Linked DNA regions of Oryctolagus cuniculus. The protein of the gene in region 1 binds, or shares a complex with, the protein of each later gene. Links are inferred from orthologs where the notes say so. Each region holds a gene or a part of one and is shown in the gene's direction. Other genes may lie near its edges.

Region 1 (3,500 bases):
CCTGCGGGGGCGGGGCCTCGGGCCTCCTGACCGGAGGTTGGCTCCCACTGCTGAGACTCCAGGGCTCAGGGCTGCGGCCTAGGATGCGTCCTTGGGAGGCTGCCCAGGGCTTCCTAGGCAGGGCCCTGCAGAGGGGCCGCCTTCTCACTGCCTCTCCCCGCCCCAGGCTGCAGGCTCGCATCGCACACCGAATCCAGGAACTTGAAAACCTCCCCGGGTCCTTGGCCGGGGATCTGCGAACCAAAGCGACCATTGAGCTCAAGGCCCTCAGGCTGCTGAACTTCCAGAGACAGGTGGGCTGAGTGCTGGGGCTGCTCCCTGGGGGCTGGGGCTGCTCCCTGAGTGCTGGGGCTGCTCCCTGGGGGCTGGGGCTGCTCCCTGAGTGCTGGGGCTGCTCCCTGAGTGCTGGGGGCTGCTCCCTGGGGGCTGGGGCTGCTCCCTGAGCACTGGGGCTGCTCCCTGGGGGCTGGGGCTGCTCCCTGGGGGCTGGGGCTGCTCCCTGAGGGCTGGGGTGCTGCTCCCTGGGGGCTGGGGCTGCTCCCTGGGGGCTGGGGCTGCTCCCTGAGCACTGGGGCTGCTCCCTGGGGGCTGGGGCTGCTCCCTGGGGGCTGGGGGCTGCTCCCTGAGGGCTGGGGTGCTGCTCCCTGAGCGCTGGGGCTGCTCCCTGGGGGCTGGGGCTGCTCCCTGGGGGCTGGGGCTGCTCCCTGAGCGCTGGGGCTGCTCCCTGGGGGCTGGGGCTGCTCCCTGGGGGCTGGGGGCTGCTCCCTGAGGGCTGGGGTGCTGCTCCCTGAGCGCTGGGGCTGCTCCCTGAGTGCTGGGGCTGCTCCCTGGGGGCCGGGGCTGCTCCCTGAGTGCTGGGGGGCTGCTCCCTGAGTGCTGGGGCTGCTCCCTGGGGGCTGGGGCTGCTCCCTGGGGGCTGGGGCTGCTCCCTGGGCGCTGGGGTGCTGCTCCCTGAGCGCTGGGGCTGCTCCCTGAGTGCTGGGGCTGCTCCCTGGGGGCTGGGGCTGCTCCCTGAGGGCTGGGGTGCTGCTCCCTGAGTGCTGGGTGCTGCTCCCTGGGTGCTGGGTGCTGCTCCCTGGGGGCTGGGGGCTGCTCCCTGAGTGCTGGGTGCTGCTCCCTGAGTGCTGGGGCTGCTCCCTGAGTGCTGGGGTGCTGCTCCCTGAGTGCTGGGTGCTGCTCCCTGGGGGCCGGGGCTGCTCCCTGGGGGCCGGGGCTGCTCCCTGGGGGCTGGGGGCTGCTCCCTGGGGGCTGGGGCTGCTCCCTGGGGGCTGGGGCTGCTCCCTGAGTGCTGGGGCTGCTCCCTGAGTGCTGGGGGCTGCTCCCTGAGTGCTGGGCCGCTGCTCCCTGGGCGCTGGGGCGCTGCTCCCTGGGCGCTGGGGCGCTGCTCCCTGGCCATTCGCACGTGTGCGCACACTCACACTCACGCAAGGGCGCTGTTGGTCCCCTGTGCCTGCCCTGCGGCCCAGTGGGTGGTGGGAGGGGTTGCCCTTGAGGCTTTCCCTAAGCGGGGGCTTCCCTCTGGCACGGTTGCCCGGTGGGGGATGAGACTCGAGCGGCCCCTCTCCAAGGGGTGCTGTCTTCTGGGGGTCCGTAAGGACCTCTGTGTGTTGTGGGAGGCCCACTGCAGGCTTGAGGCACGCCAGGGCCCTCTGCTGGGCTCCAGATGGTCATTGCTCCGTGCCGCCTGCCGGTGGCTCCTGCCATCCGCTCTCTGCATACAGATCGGTGCCTGAGCATCTTTTTAGAGATGACCCGGAATGGGCGTTGAGCCCAGCACCTCCCACGTCGGGTGCTGGGGTTCCTTCTCCCACGTCCTGCTGATGCGGGCCCCGAGGGGCATCAGTGACGGACTCACAGTCCGGTCTCAGGTGCCGTCGTTCTGGGAGTGAGCCGGCGGGGTGGGGCTGTTGGTCTCGGAGGCGGCAGCACCGGCGTGGCGTGGCGTGGCGTGGTGTGGCGTGCACGGTGCCAGCGTCTCCTGTTCCTCCCGAAGCTGCGCCAGGAGGTGGTGGTGTGCATGCGGAGGGACACAGCGCTGGAGACGGCGCTGAACGCCAAGGCCTACAAGCGCAGCAAGCGCCAGTCCCTGCGCGAGGCGCGCATCACCGAGAAGCTGGAGAAGCAGCAGAAGATCGAGCAGGAGCGCAAGCGGCGCCAGAAGCACCAGGTGCGTCCCGGCCGGCGCCCCCGCGCCGCGCGCGGCCTCGTCTCGGCTGTGACGGTCGCCCCTGTCTGCCGAGTTAGCTTTGTGTTGGTAAAAATTACCGCACGTTGGTGTGTGTTTAGGTACTGCTGAAACACGGCAGATGTCAACCTTGTATTCCATCTCAGCCTGTCCCCCGTTCCCCTGTTTGGGCACACATAGCATATTTTACAGCTCTCAGAATTTAAAAAAAAAAATCCCGCTAGAACAGGCGTTCTTGGCCCTCCAGGTTTTCTGGACTGATCTTGGACATATTCTTACAATATGCACTGGGTTTTGTCAGGACACGGGGCCGGGCCTCCTAGCAGGCAGCGGCACAGTCTCGCTGCGCTTACGTCTCGATGAGCGCGTGGTCCTCCTCGGGGGAGCGCCCTTGCCAGTGGCGTCCCCCGAGCGGTCAGCGCCCCCTTGGCGTCACCCACAGGAGTACCTCAACAGCATCCTGCAGCACGCCAAGGACTTCAAGGAGTACCACAGATCCGTCACGGGCAAGATCCAGAAGCTCACCAAGGCGGTGGCCACGTACCACGCCAACACGGAGCGGGAGCAGAAGAAGGAGAACGAGCGGATCGAGAAGGAGCGCATGCGCAGGCTCATGGTGCGTCCCGGCCCCAGCCCGGCCCGCTCAGCTGGCTCGCGCCCGGTCCAGTAGGGGCTGGGTGAGAGGTGGGCAAAGGGGAAAACAGGCGTGGGTTGGGGGCAGAGACCCCTGCCTCAGACCTGACCACGAAGGGGCCACGGGACCCAGGCCCGTCGGCTGCCCTGCACATTGGGTCAGGGGGCACAGGGGGAGCAGTGGAGACCCCCCAGTAGTCTGTTGGGCCGTGGGGGAAGAGGGCGCTGCAGGAGACGGAACTCGGCCCCTGCCCTCCTGGGCTTCAGATAGCCCGGGTGAAACACAGGAGGGGGTTTTATGTGAAGATGAGTGCAGGGAAGGGCAGGACTCAGGCAAGGGCGTGGGGTGGACAGGAGGCCTCACCACCAGAGGCCTGCAGGGCAGGCGTGACCCAGGGTGCACGGTCTGGGGACAGGAGGGTGGCAGCATGCTGCATGTGGCGTCCAGCAAGTGCCTCGGGTCCCAGGCCCCCGAGATGGGAGGTCCGAGCACCTCGTGTGGGGCAGGTGGATCCCCACGGCCTGCCAGGAGGGCTCTGGGCCCGAGGGCGCCCCTGCCGAGGTGTGGCAGTGCTGTCGTGTGGACCAGCTGGAGGAAGGGCTGGATTTGGGGGTGTGTCTCATGGACGGAGAAGGCGGGACTTGGGGCCTTTGCGGTGGCTCCTTGCAGGGCCCTCAGGTG
Region 2 (2,559 bases), on another chromosome or scaffold:
GCCAATCCTGTCTGCTTTTCACAACGTGTGTGAGCTCAGTGTCACTCCTTCTTCGCAAGGTCACACACTCACTTCTGTAATCTCTCATCTCTGTGACAAAGCACGTGAGTGTTGCGATTCGGGGACCGGGAACATCTGTGGTTCTGCATTTTTAGAAAGCAGCTGCTGTAATGGAGTAAGTCAAGCTAGATGGAGTCACTTTTCATCCTGTGAAACTCGGCCCGTGGTGTGAACTTTGATTTTATTCCTCTCCAGCTGTTCTCTGTCACATGAATCTTCCGAAAGCATGAATGAAGACAGGGATGCCGTGCAGGCTTCCTTAGATGGGAAGGCAGCACGGGGAAGACGCTGAGGGGCCCTGGCCACTTCCTTTATGCTGCACTGATGTGGCCTGGGTGTGCAGCTAAGCAGTTTCTGTTCTAGCTCCTAAACTCGTAAAACTTTGGATCAGGAATCTTCACTGTTACCTTGAGACTGATGACTTTCTGTATTTCTTTCCAGATTACTAAAGAGACATGAAAACAACCTGTCAGTACTTGCTATAAGTAACATGGAAGCTTCCTCCACCCTTGCCAAATGCCTTTATGAACTGAACTTCACAGTTCAGAGCAAAGAACAAGAACAAGACTCAGAAATGCTGCAGTGAAACAGAATTCCACTTCGAGTGGGGACTGCAAGTCAGATACATTTCACACACTGTTACTGAAGAAAGCACCAAGTCTTAATGGAACAGAGACCATGGAATGAATTATTTTATCTCCTCCCTTGATGTTGAGAGGAAGTTCGTATTCTGATCTTTGAGCGAATCCCTTTTGTTCTCTGTTTGAAAAAAATCTAAAAAGAAAAAAACTGCTGTGGGATTGTCAATCAGCTCATCTGCAGGATGCCTCTCAGACCTGAAGTCCTGATGGGAACCGGTATGATCAGAATTCAGTACCATCCACATTGGAGTAGACATGGGATCTTGTAAAATCTTCACGAGCAGATGAAATAGAAGCATTAAATATTTTTATCTATATCCAAAAAGGAGCACATTTTTATATTTACTAAACAGTTTAAGCTGGTTTGAATAATTAAAAAGTTTCAGCACACTTATACCCCCTGGTCTCAGAGGGGGCCACCAATATCTAGCTATGGATTGTGTGTTTTGTTTAGAAATCAGTAGCTTGGTTTTCTTACTTGAGCCAATATATTTTCACTTATTTATTATCATAAAAATTTACCAGTCTGAATAGATCTTGTAAATATTTGTGAATAGAAGGAACACCTTTCATGCCGCTGCAGCCACTGGAGATACATTCTGTGGTGTCCTAGAAGCATTACCGATAGGTTCTCACGTTTTCTAGACTTCTGTCAATTGTAAGTAATTGTGATATATTCTGCGCAGTGGACGAATGTTCTTCAATCTTTGTAAATACTTCTGCAAGGTACTGATGCTGTAAAGTCAGACAGTTTTGTGGGACTGTGATTTTTTTTTCTTTTTGTATTATACACCTTGTAGAACTCATTTTGCTGGCTGAAAAGAGTATGGAGTAATATATCTCATGTCATTTTTGTAGAAGAAAAACTCTTTGAAGGTATTTTTTGGTTTTTCCCTAACATGTATCCACTGTAAGCGTTTGTCATGTTTAAGCTCAGAGCTTGGACAGAAATTTTTGTATTTGTAAATTGGTTTGAATACATGGGATTTTATACAGGCGCTCTCCTGTGCTGTAAATGCATTCTGTGCAGTACACTTTCTCCACTCCTTTTCTATCTTCCTAGAGGTGGGGTTTATTGTCTAATTCTCCATTCTTAATACTGTACCACATTCCTGCTCAGATACTGCTCACTTCCCCAAATTGTCTTTCTCCCTCCCAGCGTGAAATGTACCCATTTATAACTGCCTATTGCCTGTTCTATTAGCATCCAAAAATGTGGAAGGCCTCCCAACCACGATTTCTGCTGTGTCCTTAGGATGTGCAGTTAAAAAAAATATAGACCTAACAGTTTCTGTTATAGAATGGCTTTATTTACTTTGGTGACTGTTTATAGTTTTTAAATAAAAGACTGAACATTTTCTTGAGTCCTTCATTTCTGAGTATGCTAAGCTATTTTTTAAAAACCTATAAAGAATCCTAAGTTGAGCTGAAGGCGAGGCCCAAACGGTCACCTACCTATTGTTTCTGTTGAGTGTTAGGGAGCAGAGGAGGGAGGTCCTCTACATGACACATTTGCATGAAATACATGGGAGATGGCCCTGAGGTTGATTTCTGTGTCCTGTAATGCAAAGCAAACCCAAATAATAGCCTGAGTGGTGCCGTTAGTGCTGAATATGCGCTTTTTATAAATTATTGGATACTGCACACTTGCCTGAAATCTTATTGATACTGTGTTTCTTCAGAACCACAGTATAAAACAAATCTTCAAACTGAGTATGGGGGCAGATTCTTTGAGTGAAAGGACATGCAAATTTTTAAATTTTGGATTCGATTGATATCGAATACTCTGATTTCTCCCTGAAGGGGGTTCCTGGCACTGCACCCTGCCAGTTCTAAAATGATCGCTTTGAGAAACCTC
Region 3 (4,228 bases), on another chromosome or scaffold:
GAGGGCTTTGAAGGCACAGTGAGGACTCCGCGTGGCTCCGAAGGTGAAAGCAGCCAGGGGAGATTTCAGCCTGAGCGTCTGTGTTTTAGACAGCTGTCTGCCGCCGTGGGAGCAGACTGGGGGGCAGTGGGAGAGCAGCGATGGAGCCGCCACCATGATCCATGCAGGGACGATGCTGGACAGGGATGGGGGGTTGCTGGACCTGCCCTGTGAATTGTAGAGAGGTCAGGATTTGCTGGTGGGCTTGGGTGTGTGTGTGTGCGTGCGCATGTGAGAAAGAAGAGGAGAGTAGGGGATGATTGATTGCACTTAGGAGAGAATCAGCTGCCCACATGGTCCTTCAGGAGGTGGGTCCTCCCCCCCCCCGCCCCAGCTACGTCTTCCTACTCAGCTCTGCACAAAGCACCTGTGCCCACCTCAGGGCCTCTGTGCTCTTCCACTTGTCATGCGTGGCTGGCAACTTTTCAGGGCTCAACTCAAAAGTCACCCGCTCTGTGCAGCCACTCCTCCAAACCAAACTATTTTTTTTAAAGAAGATTTATTTATTTATTTGAAAAGCAGAGTTATAGAGAGGCAGAGACAGAGAGAGAGAGGTCTTCCATCCACTGGTTTACTCCCCAGATGGCTGCAATGGCTGGAGCTGCGCCGATCCGAAGCCAGGAGCCAGGAGCTTCTTCCGGGTCTCCCACGTGGGTGCTGGGACCCAAGGACTTGGGCCATCTTCTACTGCTATCCCAGGCCGTAGCCGAGAGCTGGACAGGAGTGGAGCAGCCGGGACTTGAACCGGCGCCCATATGGGATGCCGGCACTGCAGGCGGTGGCTTTACCTGCTACACCACAGCGCCAGCCCCCAAACTAATCTATTTTAATTCTGTTATAGCACTCAGCATTTTCTGAAAAGATCCCTTTATTATTATTATTTTAAAATCGTCTTTCTCCACTAGAACGTCAGCTTCCTGAGAGTAACGACTTGACTTTGGTCGCTGCTGCATTCCCAGTGCCTGGCACATGTAGTCAATACACGAACAAAGGCGTTGGATGAGCCCCCATGTTGTCAGAGACTGGCTTACCCCGAAGAGACGCCCCGATAAGTAGACTCAGACAAGAATCCGCCGCAGATCCTGGGGACATCCACAGACCCCAGGGAGACTCAGAACCACCCGGGAATGGAGAGCCCGGGCTGGGAACAGAGCACCCCCCGGGGAGGGGGAGAGGATGCTCCGGGAGGAGCCCCGCCCCGCCCTGTATCCCCGGCAGCCAATGGGCGCGCGGTCCTCCTGACGCCCCCTGGGACGTGTAGTCCGGGCAGGGGCGCCCTCGGGCGCCGCCGCGCGCCCCTAGACTCCACGTCCCGTCGTGCGCCGGGAGGCGCGGGGATTGGCCGAGCCCCGCCCCCGGCCCGCCCCGCTCCGCTCGCGCCGCAGCCCCAAGAATGAATGAAATCGTAGCGCGCTGGGCGGCAGAGCGGGCGGCGCAGGCCGGGCTGGGCCCGCGCGCGGCGGCAGCGGCGCCCCGGGCCGGAGGCGGCCCAGCCGAGCGGGCCATGGCTACCGCCATTCAGAACCCGCTCAAGTCGTGAGTGTCCCCGCTGTCCCGACCCGGGTCCGGAGTCCCCGCACCCCAGCCCTTCCTCCGCCCTCCCTGGGGCTGGGGAGGGGGACCCAGCGCGCGGATGGTAGTGGAATGGGGGTCCCCCCACGCGCCCCCGTGCCTCTGAGGACTGTCACCCTTTGCCGCCCCTCCGGGGGCTGGGCACGGGAGCCCCTCCTGGGTCGCGGGGGCGCCTCTTCTTTGTCGCTGTCAGTGAAGGAATGTGGCGCGGGCTGGGGGTGGGGGCTTCCCTCCCCGCCTCCATCTGCTGCGCGGTGTCTCTGGGGGCGGCGGGCCCGCCCCGGAGCGGGCTGGACGCGCGAACGCCCAAGTCCGGACCTGAGTCTCCGGGGTTCCCACCACCCCCTCGCTCCTCGCCCGAGCATCTTTCTCTACACCTCCTCCGCCTTCTCCGCGACCCCGGCGCTGCTGGCCTCGGGGTGGGGGCTCGGATGTCGGGGGCCCCCGGTCGAGTCCCCTTTGCTCCCCGGGTCCCCGGCACCCAGAAGCCCCGACGCCACGATCGCCTGGGGCCGCGGCTTCCCTTCTCTCCCGGCCCGTGCACCTCCAGCCCGAGCGTCTCGGCTCCCCTCGGGAGGGCTGCGCCTCCGTCTCGGGGGAACCCCTGCCTTCTCCACGCCCGCCTCCCTCCGGCTTCCTCTCGGCCCCGTGGCTTGGGATAAGGACGCCCGGGTCCGAGCCTGGCGCCTGCTGTCCCTCGCCCTCTCCACCTCTCTCTGGTTCCCTCCTCGGGATCCCGGACTCCTGGGTCCTGGCGCCCCCCACCCCCTTTCCCAGGCGGTGACAGCAGCTCTGAGTGGCAGGCGTGCGGCCGCTCCCGCCCTCTCTCCCCTCCCCCTCCTCCCGGGCCTGGTGGAGGAGGCGGAGGGCGAGCGCCTGGCGGCGCCGCACAAAGGGGCTGGGGCTACCTCCCCCACCCTGCCCCCAAGCCCCAGCGCTGGCTGCCTTGACCTTGAGCGCGGAGAGCTGGGGGTGGGCGAGTGCACCCCTCCTAATGAGGACTCTGTATGGTGGCTGGACCACTGGCCCTCCAGTTGTTGGCCCCTGGTTTCCGGGTTGGGGGTGCCAGGTGGCCGAGCAGGGTTTGTGCAGGGGCAGGGACTTTGGCAGCACGCACCTGCTGTGCGAGCAGAGTCAGTGCGAGGTGGTGCGTGGGGGTGGCAACCGCTTGTTCCTCTCCTGCCCCAAGGCATGCACACAGACAGACCCAAGAGGGACACCCCCAAACTGGCAGGCAGGGATGGGGCTCCTGCGCAGTCATGGGATCCACAGGCCCTCAGGGCCCTGTCTCTGGCCCTGGCTCAGGCCCTCGGAGGAATACTAGGAATAGGGTGCCACTCCTTGCAGGTGCCTGGAGGCCAAGGTCAGCCACAGGGGCCAGGCCAGTGCCTTTCCCCTGGGGAGTTCAGAACCCAGCTCAAGCCATTAATTCTCCCCCACCCCCACGCGCCTCAGTGTTACCATCTGTGAACTGGGGATTACAGCGGTTCTTAACTCCCGGGAGTGAGGCCTAGCGAGGCTTAAACACGGTGATCACTGGGAAGCCATCGGTGCGGAGCCTGACCCTGGCTAAACGCAGTGATGATTAGTCCAGTCAGCACTGGTTCATCAGTACTGGTCAGTAACGATTTCTCCTGGGGCCAGCACCCACTTAGGGCTGGGAGCTCGTGGGAGGGGAGGGGTCTGAGGGTGACTGAGGTCAGGCAAGGGCCAGCCTGGGTCTGTGGGCTCAGATCCCGCTGGTGGGCCAGGACCTCTGGGAGGTGACCTGGTCTCTACACCCAGGCCACACTGGGTCAAACTGAGTGTGCTGTGTCGGGGCCGCAGGCGGCTGGTCAGGCTGTGGCTGCAGGTGTGTGGAGCAAGAGTGCTGAGCCTGGGTCTGGGGGGCAGGGCTCATGGTGGGTCAGGTGTCTGGTGGCCACTAAAGGAGCCTGGAGGCCAGAGTGAGCTTGGGGTGCCAGCGCGTCCCACTTAGTCCTCTGAGCAGATGTGAGTCAGACACCCGACCCCTCCCGTCGGCGGCTGGTGGAGGGGCGGGTCAAGGCCCTACCTGGCTTAGATGGAGGAGAGTTTATGGAGGGACTAGAAGTGTGTGTGTGTGTAGGTGACCACGAGTTTCGGAGGCCTTGAGTGGATCTCGCTCAAGGAGGAGGGGACCAATTGACAAAGGAGGTGAAGACTGGCCCGCCCCGTCTGTGCGCTGGAGCGCCCCCTAGTGGACAAGGGGTGTGCAGGCGTGTTTATTTCCCTCAGCCTCTCAAACTAGGGTGCTCTTGAAGGGGGGATGCGTTTGCGTGTGCGTGTGTGTGTGTGTGTGTGTGTGGAGAGAGAGACAGAGAGAGAGAGAAACGGGAGAATGTGCCTTAGTGTGTCAGCTCACCTTCTAGGCATTCCTTAGGGTCGATTGAGTGTGTGTGTGTGTGCATGTGTGTGTGTGTGTGTGTGACCCAGGAGGTGAGGGATCAAAGTCCAGGTGCATGAATCCTTCCCTAGTGGCCTGGCCCAGCAGTCCCCAGGGGCTGAGGGCATGTAAGGTCACTTCCCTGTGACCACCTGACTCCTCATCTGAAAAACAGGTACGAAATAGGATTAACTCAGGACAGAGCTGTGCCTG
Region 4 (3,943 bases), on another chromosome or scaffold:
CAAAGGGGCAGTGGCTATTTTGGATCTGCCCTGCCCTGGCATGCAGTTGCCTAAGCTCTTCAGTCAAGATGAAAGGGATGGGGTGAGATGGGGTGATTTAAATATGTGTCTCTATAGAGCTTTGGGAATGTGATTTTAAAAAATGTCTTGAAATTGTGATCAGCAAGAGGATTTTTTTTTGAAGTTTATGTGGTTATAATATTATGCCTCACTGAAGCATTCTTGTTTATTCTAATCCCATCAAAGTTGTTCAGTTGCTCATTTTTTTCTTGAGATAATTCATTTAAAAAGCAATACTCTATGGACAGTCTCACTTCCTGTAGTGTCCGCTTACTCAGATTGCATGCATTCCCTCTGCCATCAGGACGAGTCACCTCTCCATGGACTCCACCTGGACGAGGCTCCATTATTACAGCTGGGGAGACTGAGGCCTTCATGCTAAGGAAACTCACCCATGGTAACCCAGCTGGTAAGTGGGGGACTCCACAGCCTGCACCCCTAACCGTACATAAGGCTGCTCCATTTTAAAATTGAACATTTTCCAAAACTGTTCATGAACCCTGTCTCCTTTAAACACATTCCTAAGCCCCTTGGCTTTTGAACATCTGGCCAAAAAAAAAAAAAAAGTTCTTTTGTCTATGAAATAAAATCCAAAGTTAAAGTAATAACAGCTCACTGATGTTGCAGAATTGATAAAAGGTAGCTTTGTAATAATTCTGCTTGTTCAGAACTCACGTGTGTATTGACAGAGTTAAAATGATATTCCAGTGGATTACAAAAAGTCAAGGCTATCTTTTTTTTTAAATTACTATCTTTAATGTATTATTTTTCAGTCCAATCAGTACAAGATGTAACATAAGTAAGTTCTGGATTCAAATCTCTGACAGCGAAGACAGATTGATCTGCCATTTTCCAGTGGGACTACACTGGCTTCTGCTCTGGGCTTTGACAGTTAACCCTATGTCCACTCTCTCATACGCAGTATGAATTTGTTTTTCCCTCCCTCTCCCATTGGATCGTAAACCTTGTCGGGAGCAGGCGCCACATTCCTCACTTCCCTTACCAGACTGCGTGCATTAAAATAAGGCCGTTGTCTGCTAATGGTTGCGTTTTTGATATCTCAAAGTCGTTGGGGGAAGTTCTGCCTGATAACTTGAAACTCGCGCTTCCGGTGTGAGAAAACAGTGCTGGCCTGTTCAGATGCCCGGGCTCATCTCGGCCCAAGGACGCGCTTTGGGTCCAGCCCCTCGCGCAGGGAGTGCCTGCGCTTAGCACCGAAGCTGGTTTGTGCAGACGGCCGTCTGGGCCAGGGCGCTGCTGCGCCGCCGGCCAGGCACGGGGAAGGGGTCCCCTGACCAACACCCCGACTCAGCCGCCGGCGGCTCATCCGCAGCCCTGCTGGGGTATGGAGTTGAGCTTGGCAAGTTCTGGGACGTCTTACTGATGTTCGGAGATCATAGGTGAGCCGCCCCTCGCCCCCACCCCGCGACCTCGGCCGCTGGACCGGACTCGGCCGCGTGGGGGTGGGGGGCTGGCGGTCCGCAGAGCCCGGGGGCCGGTCCCGCGCCCCGCCTGCACTCCAGCCTCCCGCCTCCGTCGGGACCCGGCCAGGACGGGACTTCTTGCTGACTCCGAGCGGACGCCTCTGGCCACAGCGGATTACTCATTAGCAAATTCTTTTCGCCTTCTATCTAAGTAGTGAAAGGTGACGCCGGAGTCGCGAGCGCCGCTCCCGGAAAGGGACTCGGACAACACCCGGCCCGCGACGTGTGCCTCGTCCCCGGCTTCCCGAGGGGCGGAGAGCCGGGGCGTCCAGCTGGGGCCCCCAAGCCTCCGGCGGGCGCGGATACGGGTCTCGCCGCTCTGGGAGTTTCTGGGGGCGGGGGCGCGGCGCAGGGTGACCCCCGAGCCTTACGTAACGGAAAGCCCTGGCTGGAGCCCGCAGCGAGGCTGACATGGAGACACTCCAGGGACAGGGCAGCTGCTGTCCGGGAGTCGCCAGCAGCGGCGGCGGCGGTTCCAAGAGACCGGGAGAGGAAGGCGGCCGAGATAAAGAAAACACTTGGGGAACCAGAACGTGCCCAAGCCGCAGCACCCGGAGCGCTTAGCGAGCGGCTGGACGCGTGCGGTGATTTGCTGGGCGTGGGCCACGGCTGCCCTCCAACTTTGCCCCGGAACGCGGGGATGGACCCCGCGGGGGCTGAAGAACGGCGGTGTGCGCGGCCGATGAATGGGAGCCGCTGGGCTGCTGGCAATGTGTAAATATTTCCACCCTGGAGCGCAAACTCTCTGCAGTTATTTTAGGAAAGTAGGGACCCGAAGGAAACTCGCCCGCTCTCCCGGAGCGTCTCCTCTCGGCACCGTCCCGGCGGGAGCGGCTCGCGCGGTACTGCCCCTTTAAGACCTGCTAGCTCTCGGGCTCTACAAAAGGGAGTGACCTCTGGGCTTTGACAGCTCCCCTAATAACTACCACCGCGCAGGCCCCGCCCACCCGGCGGCCAGCCGCGCCGATTGGCCGGCGGGCCGGTATCCCGTGCTCTGATTGGCCTGCCGCTTCCCCTGAGCGAACCTTTAGAACTCTGAGACAGACAATATTCTGTTACATTGTAGCAAAATGGCGACTGTCATTCACAACCCCCTGAAAGCGTAAGTACGACTCAAAAATGTACATATTCCGCGTGGTTTCAATATGAAAAAAAAGGCGCCTTCCGCGCGCCCAGCGCGGCCGGTGCACGGCGCGGGCAGGCGCCTCCCGCTGCGGCCGCGGCTTCTCTCTTTTCTTTCGGCTCTTACTTCTTCATCTTCTCTATCCCCCCCCACCCCCGCCAGCGCGCAGAAATGTCAGGAGATGCAATTAACAAGAAGAAAATTGTTACATTTGCGTTCCGCTTAATTGGAGGATCCGGAGAGAGACTGGCAGCTAGAGGCTCCGGCGGCCGGCGAGCCGGCGCTCGCGCGCGCGCGGCGGCCGGGGGGTCGCGGGCAGCCCGGGGACGGCGCGGTCCCCCGAGCGCCCAGCGCGGCCGGGCTGCGAGCGCGGCGCTGGGGGCGGCCGGGCCGGGGGCGAGCGGCGGACCGGGGCCGCCTCCATGCGCTCGGCGGAGCCCGGCGCCTCCGGAGCCCGCGGCCCCCGCCCCGCGGCTCTCGGCCAGCCGCGGCGGCTCGGGAGTTTGCAGGGTGCCCGCCGCCTTCCGATCGCCGGAGGGGAGTTTGTGCAAACCTTCCGGAGTTGAGAGAGCGCCGCGGGGGCGCAGCGGGGCCTGGGAGCCCCCGGGGCCGGGGAGGCCCCCGGCGGGGACTGCGCTCCGGGCGGCCGCCGGACCGTGTTCGGTTGCCCCTGGCTGGGGCCCGTTCCCGACTCCGGTCCATTCGGGGGGTGGGTCCGGGGGCAGGGACGCCGCGGGTCTCCTGAAAGGTGCTGTCGCCTGCTCTGGGGAGCTGCCGAAGCGGGCGGAGGGGCGGCCTGGGGCTCCCGGCTCTAGCGAGGGGCAGGTGCCTGCGGCTGCCGCGCGACACTTTGAGCGGACGCCCGGATCCGGGACGGCGGGGGCCGGGCTGGGCAAGCCCCCGCGGAGGCCAGTCCTCAGGTCCGACCGCCTGCTTTCCTCCTCCTCCTCCTATTCGTCCTGGCTTCCTTCCTTCCTTCCTTCCAGTCCGTGGAATTGTTAAGCCGCCAAGTCCGCTCGCGACCGCAGAGCCGGGGGCGGCGGCCTTGGAAACTAGTGTCGCTGGGCGAGGGGTGCCCGGGGCAGGGGCTGGGGTCGGCGCCGCGCTCCTCCGCCCGGGACCTCCCCGCGCTGCGGGGGGCCGCCGGCCAGAGGCAGGTGAGGTGCTGGTGGGTGGGGGACGCGGAGTGCGTGGTGGGGGTTGACCCTGGTTCTCTGAACTCCGCGTATGCGCGCCCACGCCCCCCCCCTTCCCGGCCCCCGCCTCCTCGATTGCC
Region 5 (3,500 bases), on another chromosome or scaffold:
GCCCCACCAGGGGGCGCCCATGGGCCCCCCGGGCTCACCGTACATGGGCAGCCCCGCCGTGCGACCCGGCCTGGCCCCCGCGGGCATGGAGCCCGCCCGCAAGCGAGCAGCGCCCCCGCCCGGGCAGAGCCAGGCCCAGAGCCAAGGCCAACCGGTGCCCACCGCCCCCGCGCGGAGTCGCAGGTGAGTGGGGGGGGGGGGGGCGCGCGAAGGGGGCGTGCAAGGGGGGCTGTCAGGACCCGCGGGAACCAGGTGGGAGAGTGGCGGGGATTGGAAGAGGCGAGGAAAAACGCTAAGCAAGGAGCAAGTCCTCCTCCGAGGAGCTGGGCTTAGGGGACACTGGTCTGGTTCTTTTGTGTGCCCACGGTCGAGACTGGCTGCGGCCATCGGCAGCCAGTGGCCCTTCCCTGCACGCGCCCCGCGCCCTTCTTGTCTTCTGCTCAGTGCACCTCTCCACCCCTTAGGCTCCGGGTGATGCTCCGGTCTGGTGGGGTAGGGCGGGGCTGACAGTAGGGCTGAGGGCAGAGCCTTAGAGCCGGGCTTCCCACAGTGTAGTTCCCCCGGGGGGCACCTTCCAGCAGTCCCCTGGCTGGCTGTCTCAAAGCGCTCCAGATCTCAGTCGGAATCCCTAGCCGTGGGGGGTGGGGCCTGGGGAGCTGCTCTGGGGGCGGCTCGTCCCAGGTAATTTGTAGACATCCAAAAAGACTCTTCAGAGTTGCCGTTCTGTTTTCTGGACCGGGTCTGCCCCAAGCCACCAGGGCCAGCACACCTGCTTGCCTGGGCAGCTGGTAGCACCCCAAAAGTTCCTGCTGGCTCCTGGCAAGAGTGATACCCCTCTAGGTTTCAGTATTTAGCCAAATGCACATGCTTCCTTTTGCACGACAGATGGGTTTCTATAAAAGGTGTAATGTCAATTTTTCCTCATTATTAAATATTATTTATATACATCAAGGAGAATTCACCGTTTATGGGAATCTCATGAATTCTTCTGCAGATTGAATTACCATGTTGTACATTAGATAATAATTCCATGATTTATCTTTTCTAAATGGAGAGTTTCACATAGATCATTTGTTTAAAACAGATGAGACCTTTAATGAAAGTCCCTTGCCTAATGGCTTTCTGGATAGGAAAGGGGCAGTGGTTGAGATTACCACGTGGGGGCAGTATGGAGCCGTTCTCTTGGCTGCATTTGAATCTCCTGACCCGCCAAGGTTTTGGGGGGGGGGGGTGCTTTTGGGAGTCAGAAGCAGCTGGGCAGGTCAAGGAGAGTGCAGACCCCAGCGCTACCTGTCCACAGAGGACCAGTTAGTATGACCCCAGGTTGAAGTCATGCCCCCACAGAACTGCATACTCTGTGGGTCCCTAATGAGTGTGGTGTGTCCTTTGCCCTGGTGGCTGGTGGGCCAAGGGCCCAAGCCACCCCCTGCCCATCAGTGTCCCCTTCAAAGCCCAAGGTGACAGGGATACAAGTCCTCAGTTCCAGAGGTAGGGGGTCCATCTCTCCCCCTCCCTCTGAGCTCAGGCCACCCTGGACATGCACACCCTGCTTTGCAGAAAGCCAAGGTCCTCCAAATCCAGCTTCCCTCCCTGCTGCCCAGGTTTTCTGGAACATTTCTGCTGCTCCCATGTTTGGGCAGCACCTTCCCCGTCCCCACCCCCACCTCTCCCAGGCCAGAGAAAGCATGGATCACCCCACTTCCCAAGAGAGGCCAGAGCACCAGCTCCACACACCACTGCTGCCGCCCTCGGGCGGGCAGACAAGCCGGCTGTGGGAACCCCAGCCAGGCAGGCGGAGATGTCGGGATAATTTAGCAGGTGGCCTCCTTACTCCCAGATCTGTCACCATGGTAACCTGTTTTTTTCTTTAAAAAATGTACAGTGCCAAAAGGAGGAAGATGGCTGACAAAATCCTCCCTCAAAGGGTGAGTGCCTTTCACAGCAGCCCCCAGCCTGGCCCCCAGCCTTGGCTGCTCCACCCTCCTTTCCCCCCCTCCCAATCCGGTGCTGCCTCCCCTCCCCCTTCAGGAGCAGAGCCTCAGCGGCACAGTCACTTTCACTTTTTGTTTCAAAAGCTCATTAAGAAGTGCGGCTTGGGGTGGGGGCTGAGGGAGGAGGTAGGGCAGAGGGGGAGGAACGAAGCCCTGGGGTGGAGGGGTATAGAACACTGGGCCTGAGGTTCAGGGGGCTCAAACCCAGTGGAAGGAAGACATGAAAGGCGTGTGACAAAGAGAAGACTGAAGCTGGGGGATCAGAGGCTACCAGATGGAGTGCAGGGAAAAAAAGGTGACCAGAAGAAGGGATCCTGGCTGAGCTGGGTATGGGGTAACTTGCTTAAGACACCACATGGGGGGCTAGTTAATGCCAGGGTGGAGGCGAGCAACAGTGTCCCCCAGCTGTCTCCCAAAGGAAGCGAATGCCTAGTGGAAAGACAAGATGAGAAAAGGTTAGGGGCTCGTGCCTGCTGGGCTCCAAAGTAGCCCCCTCCTCCCGGGGGGGGACATACCTGGGTCTCACTAGGGGGTGAGGCATTTTTCTTTTTTTTTTTTTTTTTAGGTTTATTTTATTTATTAGAGAGAGAGAGAGAGAGAGGTTTTCCCATCTGCTGATTCACTCCCCAAATGGCCACAATGGCCAGAGTTGAGCTGATCCGAAGCCAGGAGCCAGGAGCTTCCTCCAGGTCCCTCCCACAGGTGCAGGGGCCCAAGGACTTGGGCCATCTTCTACTGCTTTCCCAGGCCATAGCAGAAAGCTGAGTGGGAAGTGGAGCAACTGGGACTCGAACCAGCGCCCATATGGGATGTTGGCACTGTAGGCCAGGGCTTTAACTCACTACACCACAGCACTGGCCCCGGGGGCATTTTTCTATCCCACATATCAAGGCCCCTGCTTGGGGATAATGGAACCTAGGGGAGAGGTCTAATTCGCACTCTCCCAAGTCCATGTCCTGAAACCAGACAACTTCCCTCCATGTGTTACCCCGGGATCACACAACACACGGTGCAAGATTGGCCGAGCCCCTGATCCCTGTCTTCTCCTCTTCCTCTTCCAGATTCGGGAGCTGGTCCCCGAGTCCCAGGCTTACATGGACCTCCTAGCGTTCGAGAGGAAACTGGATCAAACCATCATGCGGAAGCGGGTGGACATCCAAGAGGCTCTGAAGAGGCCCATGAAGGTGCCTTAGTTTGGGGGGTAGGAGGGCTCCAAGCACCGCGCCAGGATGGGGCAGCAGGGTGGCCTCAGGGCTGGGGCACATAGCCTCCGCTTGGCACGACATTCTGTTTCCACAGCAAAAGCGGAAGCTGCGCCTCTATATCTCCAACACGTTTAACCCTGCAAAGCCCGATGCGGAGGATTCCGACGGCAGCATTGCCTCCTGGGAGCTGCGGGTAGAGGGGAAGCTCCTGGATGATGTACGTCCTGGCCCAGGTCTCTCCAGGTGTCCTGGGGTGGGTACGGGCTCAGCCGAGGACTGCTGTAGATGTTTGCACTGAGGGTTT
Region 6 (4,123 bases), on another chromosome or scaffold:
TTATCAATCTGAATAAAAGCACTGTATGATTATTTGCATATAGTTTGATTATCAATGTCTGAAGCATAAACAAGATTGATTTTAGAATACATGTATATAGATACATAAAACATTTATATTTGCATATGAAAACTTTAAAATGCAACATATGTGGTTAATACGTATAATTAGTATGTATTTGAATATATAGAGAAAAGCCAGGGAAAAAAATGTCAAAAGGCCCACTAAAAGAGATGTAGTGTTCTCTTGGCACAAACTGATGATTTGGCATGACTTCCTCTTACAGTTCTGTTATTGTCTCTTACCCGTTTTCCAGTTGTTTGGACAGAATGGCAATTTGTTGTTTCTTCTCCAAATAACGACCCTTGGGTGTGCGCCTGGCTCCCCGCCCCCACCAGTCACCAGTAGCTCCGTCTGGCTATCTGTCTCTAGTCAGGTAACATGCTTACACTTGGTCAAGCATACATAACTAGTGCATCCGAAACAAGCCGAAATGCTTGCTATGGAAAGCTGAGGAATGAAATGATTTTGGAAAACTATACTCTACCAAAATCGTGTATCTCATTTCTGGGAGTGTGACCCCTGGAGAGCTGGAGAGTACTTCTTAAGAAGTACTGTTACTAAAGATACTCATAATGATACTAGGTGGTAAACTCATAATAAAAACTGTTGCAATACACAACTGTGTACTATTTCTGCTTTTACATTAGATTGGACTGTTTTATAGTTATTGATCTTGTATTTATATTACATTTAACATCTATTGAGTTTTGTTTCATGTTACTTGGAAAGAAACTTTCTCAAGAGGGTTCTCTGTGCCCGTTACCCTCTGAAATAACGCTGGAAGGTGCTACTACATCACCGGAGGGGGGGGGATTCGACTTTGGACAAATAGTGGCATCTGCGTGGGAAAGCTGTGTGCCGCGTGACCCTCGGCTGCGTGTGCCCGAGACAGAGAGGACACAGGGGTGCGAGCTCTCCCCACAGACTCCTTGCACAGGAATCTAGGGTGCCTTAAAAACAGCCACGTAGCCATTATCTCTGGGGCAGGTGCCGGCATCGGTGAGCATCCATTGAGTACCTGCTGTGTACAGGGCTCTGTGCTCTTCGAACGCGGCTAACCCTCCCCGAAAGCCCTTCCTGAATTCTGCAGTTGGAAGAAGTTGTGGGAATCACGCCGATGGCCAGGAATCAAGGCAGGGAGGCCAACGTTCTGGAAAATTACATAACTCCTGTGAGAGCCAGCGCTTTTGCAGATCGCCCAAATATTTTCTTTCCTCCGTGGGCTCCTCGTCACCTCGGAGGCCCACGGACAACTTCGTGCCCCAGCCCTTCTTCCCTCTTTTGTCTGCTCGCCACAGACTCGTTTTTCCACCTTTGGAGCGTTCCTTTTAGACGCGAAAACAAACACGCGAACGCCCGGTTGGCAAGGAGACGGAGGCACGAGGGGAAAGTGCAGCTCCGGCCGCCTCTCGCCGCCGCGCTCCGAGCGGCTGCCCAGCCGGCCTTGGCCCGGGCCTGCGCGCGGCCCCCGGCCCCCGGCCCCCGGCCCCCGAGGCTGCGCCGGCACGGGCGGGCGGCTGCGGCCCGCGCCGAGTCCAGTCCGCGTTTTGCGAGTGCACAGGAGCAATCAGAGAGAAGTGGGATAATAGTTGCTCCAGCTCGCTCGGCTCCTTCTCGTGCCATGCTGGGCCCGATAGGCTCAGCCGGTCGTGTATTTACCCATATCCGGGTTAGAGAGGAAAAGAGAAAAGTTTCGTTTAAACCTGAACTAAAAACTTTCACCGTGAAAGCACACAGCGGGAGCAGGCCCAGACCGTAAGGCGTGCCCCGGGCCCGGCGCTCCGGCGGGGCCTGCGGAGGGGGAGGGGGCCGGCGGCTTCCCGGCGGGCCGCGTGGATGCGCGCAGGAGGGGCCGCGGCCTGAAAAGTGGGGGTATTGTCTCCCCCCGCCGCCCGCCCGGCCTCGCCACGCCGCGGCGATCATGGCCGCGCGGGCAGCAGCGGCGGCGGCGGCGCGGGCGCGGGCGGGCAGCGGCGAGCGGCGGGCGCCCCCCGGGCCGCGGCCGGCGCCCGGGGCCCGGGACCTGGAGGCGGGGGCGCGCGGCGCGGCGGCGGCACCGGCGGCACCGGGACCCATGCTGGGGGGCGGCGGCGGCGGCGGCCTGAATAATGTGCACCACCACCCCCTGCACCCCCGTCACGAGCTGAACATGGCCCATAACGCGAGCGCCGCGGCCCCGGCCGCCGCCGCCAGCACTAGCAGCGCCAAGAGCGGCGGCTCGGAGGCGGCTCTCAAGGAGGCTGGAAGCGCCGCCGCGCTGTCCTCCTCCTCCTCCTCCTCCGCGGCGGCGGCGGCGGCGGCGTCCTCCTCTTCCTCCTCGTCGGGCCCGGGCTCGGCCATGGAGACGGGGCTGCTCCCCAACCACAAACTGAAAGCCGTTGGCGAGGCCCCCGCCGCACCGCCCCACCACCACCACCACCACCATGCCCACCACCACGACCACCATGCCCACCTCCACCACCACCACCACCATCACCACCACCACCACGCACTACAGCAGCAGCTAAACCAGTTCCAGCAGCAGCAGCAACAGCAGCAGCAGCAGCAGCAGCAACAACATCCCATTTCCAACAACAGCCTGGGCGGCGCGGGCGGCGGCGGCGGCGCGCCTCAGCCGGGCCCCGACATGGAGCAGCCGCAACATGGAGGCGCCAAGGACAGTGCCGCGGGCAGCCAGGCCGACCCCCCGGGCCAGCCGCTGCTGAGCAAGCCGGGCGACGAGGACGACGCGCCGCCCAAGATGGGGGAGCCGGCGGGCGGCCGCTACGAGCACCCGGGCCTGGGCGCCCTGGGCGCGCAGCAGTCGCCGGCCGCCGTGCCCGGGGGCGGCGGCCAGGCGGCCGTCTCGGAGTTTAATAATTACTATGGCAGCGCTGCCCCTGCTAGCGGCGGCCCCGGCGGCCGCGCTGGGCCTTGCTTTGATCAACATGGCGGACAACAAAGCCCCGGGATGGGGATGATGCATTCCGCCTCAGCCGCCGCCGGGGCCCCCAGCAGCATGGACCCCCTGCAGAACTCCCACGAAGGGTACCCCAACAGCCAGTACAACCATTATCCGGGCTACAGCCGGCCCGGCGCGGGCGGCGGCGGCGGCGGCGGCGGAGGCGGAGGAGGAGGAGGAGGCAGCGGAGGAGGAGGAGGAGGAGGAGGAGCAGGAGCAGGAGCAGGAGCAGGAGCGGGAGCTGTGGCGGCGGCGGCCGCGGCGGCGGCAGCAGCAGCAGCAGGAGGCGGCGGCGGCGGCGGCGGCAGCTATGGGGGCTCGTCCTCGGGGTACGGGGTGCTGAGCTCCCCCCGGCAGCAGGGCGGCGGCATGATGATGGGCCCCGGGGGCGGCGGGGCCGCGAGCCTCAGCAAGGCGGCCGCCGGCGCGGCGGCGGGGGGCTTCCAGCGCTTCGCCGGGCAGAACCAGCACCCGTCGGGGGCCACCCCGACCCTCAACCAGCTGCTCACCTCGCCCAGCCCCATGATGCGGAGCTACGGCGGCAGCTACCCCGACTACAGCAGCCCCAGCGCGCCGCCGCCGCCGCCGTCGCAGCCCCAGTCCCAGGCGGCGGCGGCGGCGGGGGCGGCGGCGGGCGGCCAGCAGGCGGCCGCGGGCATGGGCTTGGGCAAGGACATGGGCGCCCAGTATGCCGCTGCCAGCCCGGCCTGGGCGGCCGCGCAACAAAGGAGTCACCCGGCGATGAGTCCCGGCACCCCCGGACCGACCATGGGCAGATCCCAGGTAACCCCCGCGCCGGCCGGGCCTGCTTCCGCCCGGCGGCCTCGCCGCGCCGCGAGCCCGAGTTTCTTTCTTTGCCGCGTACTTTTCCCCAGTTTTCTGGTTGGGGGGCGGCGGGGGCGCGGCGCCCAGGGCCATCTTCGCGGGCGGCCGCCTCCCGCCGAGGTCGGGCGCGCGAGCGTCCGCCCGCCGAGTCCGGGCCGCGCCGTGCGGGCCGCGCAGGGCTTCGCCCGCGGCCGCGGGCCGGGCCGGGCGCTCCGGTGCCCGGTGGACCCGCAGCCTCGCCCCGCCGGCTCTCCCGAGGCGCTGGGGTGGTGACGGGATTCCGAGACAGCGCCC
Region 7 (3,500 bases), on another chromosome or scaffold:
GAGCCCGCAAGCCTGGGCAGGGATGGCTGCTGGGGATTGGCCACACACCGTGGGCCTGTTGGGTCCTGCCTGGAGTGTTCCTAGGGGCTGCCTGCTACTGCATGTTCTTCCTGGGCCCAGCACCCACGTGGTTGGCCTGGCATATGGTTCCAGGTGGGACGGGGTAGCATCTCTGAGTCTGTTCCAAAAACCCAGCTTAATCCCCAAGTGTGAGTGTGCACAGGGACAGGAGGGCCTTGGGAGTCTGCTGCAGGCCGCCGTGCCCAGCTGTGTGCCCTGCACAGACACCATTCCTCTGCCCCTCAGCCTCCTCTTCTGCCCTGGAGCTGTGGGCGCCATTCATTGTGGCCTGAAACAAAGGCCCTGGGGCTATGCTCAGGATGCCCGGTTTGAGATGGGAAAGAAGTAGACAAAGGACTAAGATCTGTGAAGAAAACAGGTGGACAGTGGGGAGAGGGCTGGTGGGGAGCAGAAGTCTCAGGACTTGGCACCCCAGCCACAGCCAGGAGACTGAAAAGAGGCTGCATATGCCCAGGTGAAGGGAAGAACATTCCGGTAAGCGGAAACTGATGCAAAAGGCTCAGCCGCACAGGACTTCCTGGATGCCGGCAGGAGTTGGATGCTTTGACTTCTCAGAAGGGCAGCAGAAGTCCCCAGGAGGGTTGGGCTATGAGAGCAGTGGCTAGTTCACCATGAGGCTGCCCACCTGCCACCGTGATCTTCGTCTTGCTAGAGACAAGAGTGAGTGGGCAGGTACTCCATGACCTGCTCACCCAGCAGAACACTGGACAGCAGGGGAGGAGCTCACAGATGTGATGCTGAGGGAGTGAAGTCAGTCCCAAGGGGTCCCTCCTGCGTGATCCAGTGATGACCAGTTTCAGAACAGGCACAACTGACCAGGGAGTGGGGAATCAAGGGACATGGGTGTGGGTGGGAGCTCCTGGGTGCCAGCTTCCCACGGACCCACTTCCCAGGTATTCCCCAGGTGTACATGCAGCGCCTGGGCCTCTCTGTCACCTGCCCACAGGGGTCTACTTGCATGCTGCTCTCCCCCTTGGGTCTGGCCTGTCACCTGGCCAGGTTGGCACACGGTGGGGGTACATCTGGGAGCATGCTTGGTGAAATGATTTTGAGAGGGACGTAGACAGTGGACCAAGATAGGGGTTCATGGATGTCTCTGGTGAGGGACACTTGAACTGAGCCCTGCCTGTTAAAGTCACACAACGGTGGCAAGCAGCAGGAAAGAAGGCCCCAGCCAGCATGGGGGATGGGGATGGAGATGAGGTGGACCCAGGTACCCTCAGGGCCTCCCCAAGCATGACTGCCCAGCTCTTACCTAGAGCCCCTCACAGCAGTCAGCAGGTTTATGGGGTCAGCCGTTTGCAGATAGAAAGTTGGAAGGGCAAGGATCAGCTCCAGTTCTCAACTCTTTGAGTTGTGGGTAGGCTCCACCCTGGGTCTGGGGCTCCAGCGTGGTCTGTCACACCTCCCAGCCACCTCCCTGGGCTGGGGGCGGTGCTGCCTGCTCTGACTTCTCTTCTGGTCCCTGCCATAGCTGAACATCCACGTGGGAAACATCTCCCTGGTGGACCAGTTTGAGTGGGACATGTCGGAGAAGGAGAACTCGCCAGAGAAGTTTGCCCTGAAGCTGTGCTCGGAGCTGGGGCTAGGCGGGGAGTTTGTCACCACCATCGCATACAGCATCCGGGGACAGCTGAGCTGGCATCAGAAGACCTACGCCTTCAGGTAGGATCGGGCACAAGCTTCTCTCTCCCTCTCCTGCAAAACCGTTTTGGGGAAAGACTTCTCCAGAAGCGCTGACACCTTGGGACTTTGCCTCGATTCACAGTGTAGGCGGACTCTAGTCTTGGCAGGGCTCCCCCGGCACAGCCACAGAGGTCAGGGATGGGAAGTGCTGAGGGTGCAGACTCGGTGCCCAGTCAGTGTGGCCTTGAAGTTCCCACCCCTTGCAGCCCCTGTCCCAAGTGCTAACTCTGAGCTGCCAAATACAGGCCAGGCCATCCCCAGTCACGAGTGTCAGGAAGGGAGGCAGCTCACCCTGTCCCTGCCTCCAGTGTCAGGCTGGATGCACAGTGGCCATGTGACCAGAACACTCCAGCTCAGGGGCCTGTGGGTCAGGGGAGGCCTTCCGATCCCAGGGAGCTCAGTGAGTGGGGAATGAGAGTGGTTTTTGTCCTCCTCCAGGGCTGCAGGAGCAGGGAGGGGCCTGTGGCATGGACCCCTGGCTCAGAGCGCCTTTCTTGTTGGGAGTGCCTGGGGTGGGGGACGAACGTCAGAACGGGATCTTGGAGTTGAGTCTGCTCAGTTGACTCCTCAGGGGCACCATCCGACAACACAGGGGCTCATCTCAGCTGTTTTCCAGATGTCTGTCTCAGGGCTTCCCGTAAGTCTGAGTGAGGGAGCAGGAACGGAGGCACACCCACCACCCCATGCTAGGCCCCGGGCCTGGAAAGCAGCTGAGCCCCTCGGGGCGCAGTGCCTGGGCACATCCGTCACATCCGTCACCTGCACTGACCCCTCCTGCAGCTGTGCGGGCGAGTGGTTCTGCTTCACCAGGGGCCAGCCCAACGAGCTGAGGAAGCCCACCTATGGGTGCAGCTGGTCAGAGTCTGGGCTGGCTCTGAGGTCCTGGAGGCGGCGACGTCACGCGGGCCCTGGGAGTGACGTCAGTGCCCAGCAAGCACCTCCTCTGCCTGGTGCTAGATGCTGTGAGAGGCGACCTTCTCCTGGGTCTGCAGCAGCTGCCCCGCCACAGTCAGGACTCAGGAGGCAAAGGCCCCGCGGCCTCTTGATCCCAAGCTCCCTGGGATCGGAAGGCCTCCCCTGACCCACAGGCCCCTGAGCTGGAGTGTTCTGGTCACATGGCCACTGTGCATCCAGCCTGACACTGGAGGCAGGGACAGGGTGAGCTGCCTCCCTTCCTGACACTCGTGACTGGGGATGGCCTGGCCTATATTTGGCAGCTGAGTCAGCACTCGGGACAGGTGGTCCTGGCGTCCACCAGCACTCAGCTACTTTCTGCTGTGGCCCCCGGGCGACCCGAGCCATTGGCCTAAATTCCTTGCCAAGCTCCTGTCCATCTGCTCTTCGCAGAGTGGCTCCACAGCAGGCTCCCTTGGGAGTCCCTGGTGGTGGCAGGTTGGGACTTACAGTCAGGCCCATCCTTTATCTCAGTGACCATTTAATGAATTCCAGCTGCGGGGGCTGGAAGCAGCACAGACTCCTGTCCCTCTGCGGTCTCCAGTGCTGAGTTTGCAGGTTTCAAATCCTTGGCCTAAAAGGCCAGGCCACCCTCTTGGGGCCCAGGGCGAGTGCACGTGCCCTGCATCACAGCCAGGCAGGACAGGGACCTGCCCGTGGGCCTGCAAGGTGCTCCCAGTGCCTCCTCTCGCCTCAGGAGGGCTGGCCTGGGTCCTCGCAGTCAACCAAGCACAGGGCCCAGCCTGTTCTGTGTGCTGTGTCTGGGCAGCCAGGAAACT

Evidence for each region.
Region 2: SMARCA4 (region 1) and ARID2 share a complex: the UniProt entries of both Homo sapiens proteins name them as parts of the SWI/SNF-B (PBAF) chromatin remodeling complex. The link is inferred for Oryctolagus cuniculus from reciprocal best matches to the Homo sapiens genes SMARCA4 and ARID2.
Region 3: SMARCA4 (region 1) and DPF1 share a complex: the UniProt entries of both Homo sapiens proteins name them as parts of the neuron-specific chromatin remodeling complex. The link is inferred for Oryctolagus cuniculus from reciprocal best matches to the Homo sapiens genes SMARCA4 and DPF1.
Region 4: SMARCA4 (region 1) and DPF3 share a complex: the UniProt entries of both Homo sapiens proteins name them as parts of the BAF complex. The link is inferred for Oryctolagus cuniculus from reciprocal best matches to the Homo sapiens genes SMARCA4 and DPF3.
Region 5: SMARCA4 (region 1) and SMARCD3 share a complex: the UniProt entries of both Homo sapiens proteins name them as parts of the BAF complex. The link is inferred for Oryctolagus cuniculus from reciprocal best matches to the Homo sapiens genes SMARCA4 and SMARCD3.
Region 6: SMARCA4 (region 1) and ARID1B share a complex: the UniProt entries of both Homo sapiens proteins name them as parts of the neuron-specific chromatin remodeling complex. The link is inferred for Oryctolagus cuniculus from reciprocal best matches to the Homo sapiens genes SMARCA4 and ARID1B.
Region 7: SMARCA4 (region 1) and SMARCB1 share a complex: the UniProt entries of both Homo sapiens proteins name them as parts of the BAF complex. The link is inferred for Oryctolagus cuniculus from reciprocal best matches to the Homo sapiens genes SMARCA4 and SMARCB1.

What each region holds. Positions count from the first base shown.
Region 1 is NC_091447.1:66,652,800-66,656,299, reverse strand, and holds part of SMARCA4 (transcription activator BRG1), read left to right. Parts: intron 1-166; coding exon 167-293; intron 294-1,993; coding exon 1,994-2,167; intron 2,168-2,627; coding exon 2,628-2,801; intron 2,802-3,500. UniProt on the Homo sapiens protein: ATPase involved in transcriptional activation and repression of select genes by chromatin remodeling (alteration of DNA-nucleosome topology).
Region 2 is NC_091440.1:136,658,280-136,660,838, forward strand, and holds the end of ARID2 (AT-rich interactive domain-containing protein 2), read left to right. Parts: intron 1-501; coding exon 502-646; 3' UTR 647-2,059; downstream 2,060-2,559. UniProt on the Homo sapiens protein: Involved in transcriptional activation and repression of select genes by chromatin remodeling (alteration of DNA-nucleosome topology). Required for the stability of the SWI/SNF chromatin remodeling complex SWI/SNF-B (PBAF).
Region 3 is NC_091449.1:16,351,900-16,356,127, forward strand, and holds the start of DPF1 (zinc finger protein neuro-d4), read left to right. Parts: upstream 1-1,428; 5' UTR 1,429-1,432; coding exon 1,433-1,575; intron 1,576-4,228. UniProt on the Homo sapiens protein: May have an important role in developing neurons by participating in regulation of cell survival, possibly as a neurospecific transcription factor. Belongs to the neuron-specific chromatin remodeling complex (nBAF complex).
Region 4 is NC_091451.1:19,026,746-19,030,688, reverse strand, and holds the start of DPF3 (zinc finger protein DPF3), read left to right. Parts: upstream 1-1,143; 5' UTR 1,144-2,614; coding exon 2,615-2,646; intron 2,647-3,943. UniProt on the Homo sapiens protein: Belongs to the neuron-specific chromatin remodeling complex (nBAF complex).
Region 5 is NC_091438.1:22,584,119-22,587,618, forward strand, and holds part of SMARCD3 (SWI/SNF-related matrix-associated actin-dependent regulator of chromatin subfamily D member 3), read left to right. Parts: coding exon 1-183; intron 184-1,882; coding exon 1,883-1,925; intron 1,926-3,052; coding exon 3,053-3,175; intron 3,176-3,290; coding exon 3,291-3,449; intron 3,450-3,500. UniProt on the Homo sapiens protein: Involved in transcriptional activation and repression of select genes by chromatin remodeling (alteration of DNA-nucleosome topology).
Region 6 is NC_091436.1:10,839,573-10,843,695, reverse strand, and holds the start of ARID1B (AT-rich interactive domain-containing protein 1B), read left to right. Parts: upstream 1-1,323; 5' UTR 1,324-1,984; coding exon 1,985-3,787; intron 3,788-4,123. UniProt on the Homo sapiens protein: Involved in transcriptional activation and repression of select genes by chromatin remodeling (alteration of DNA-nucleosome topology).
Region 7 is NC_091452.1:30,760,124-30,763,623, forward strand, and holds part of SMARCB1 (SWI/SNF-related matrix-associated actin-dependent regulator of chromatin subfamily B member 1), read left to right. Parts: intron 1-1,555; coding exon 1,556-1,746; intron 1,747-3,500.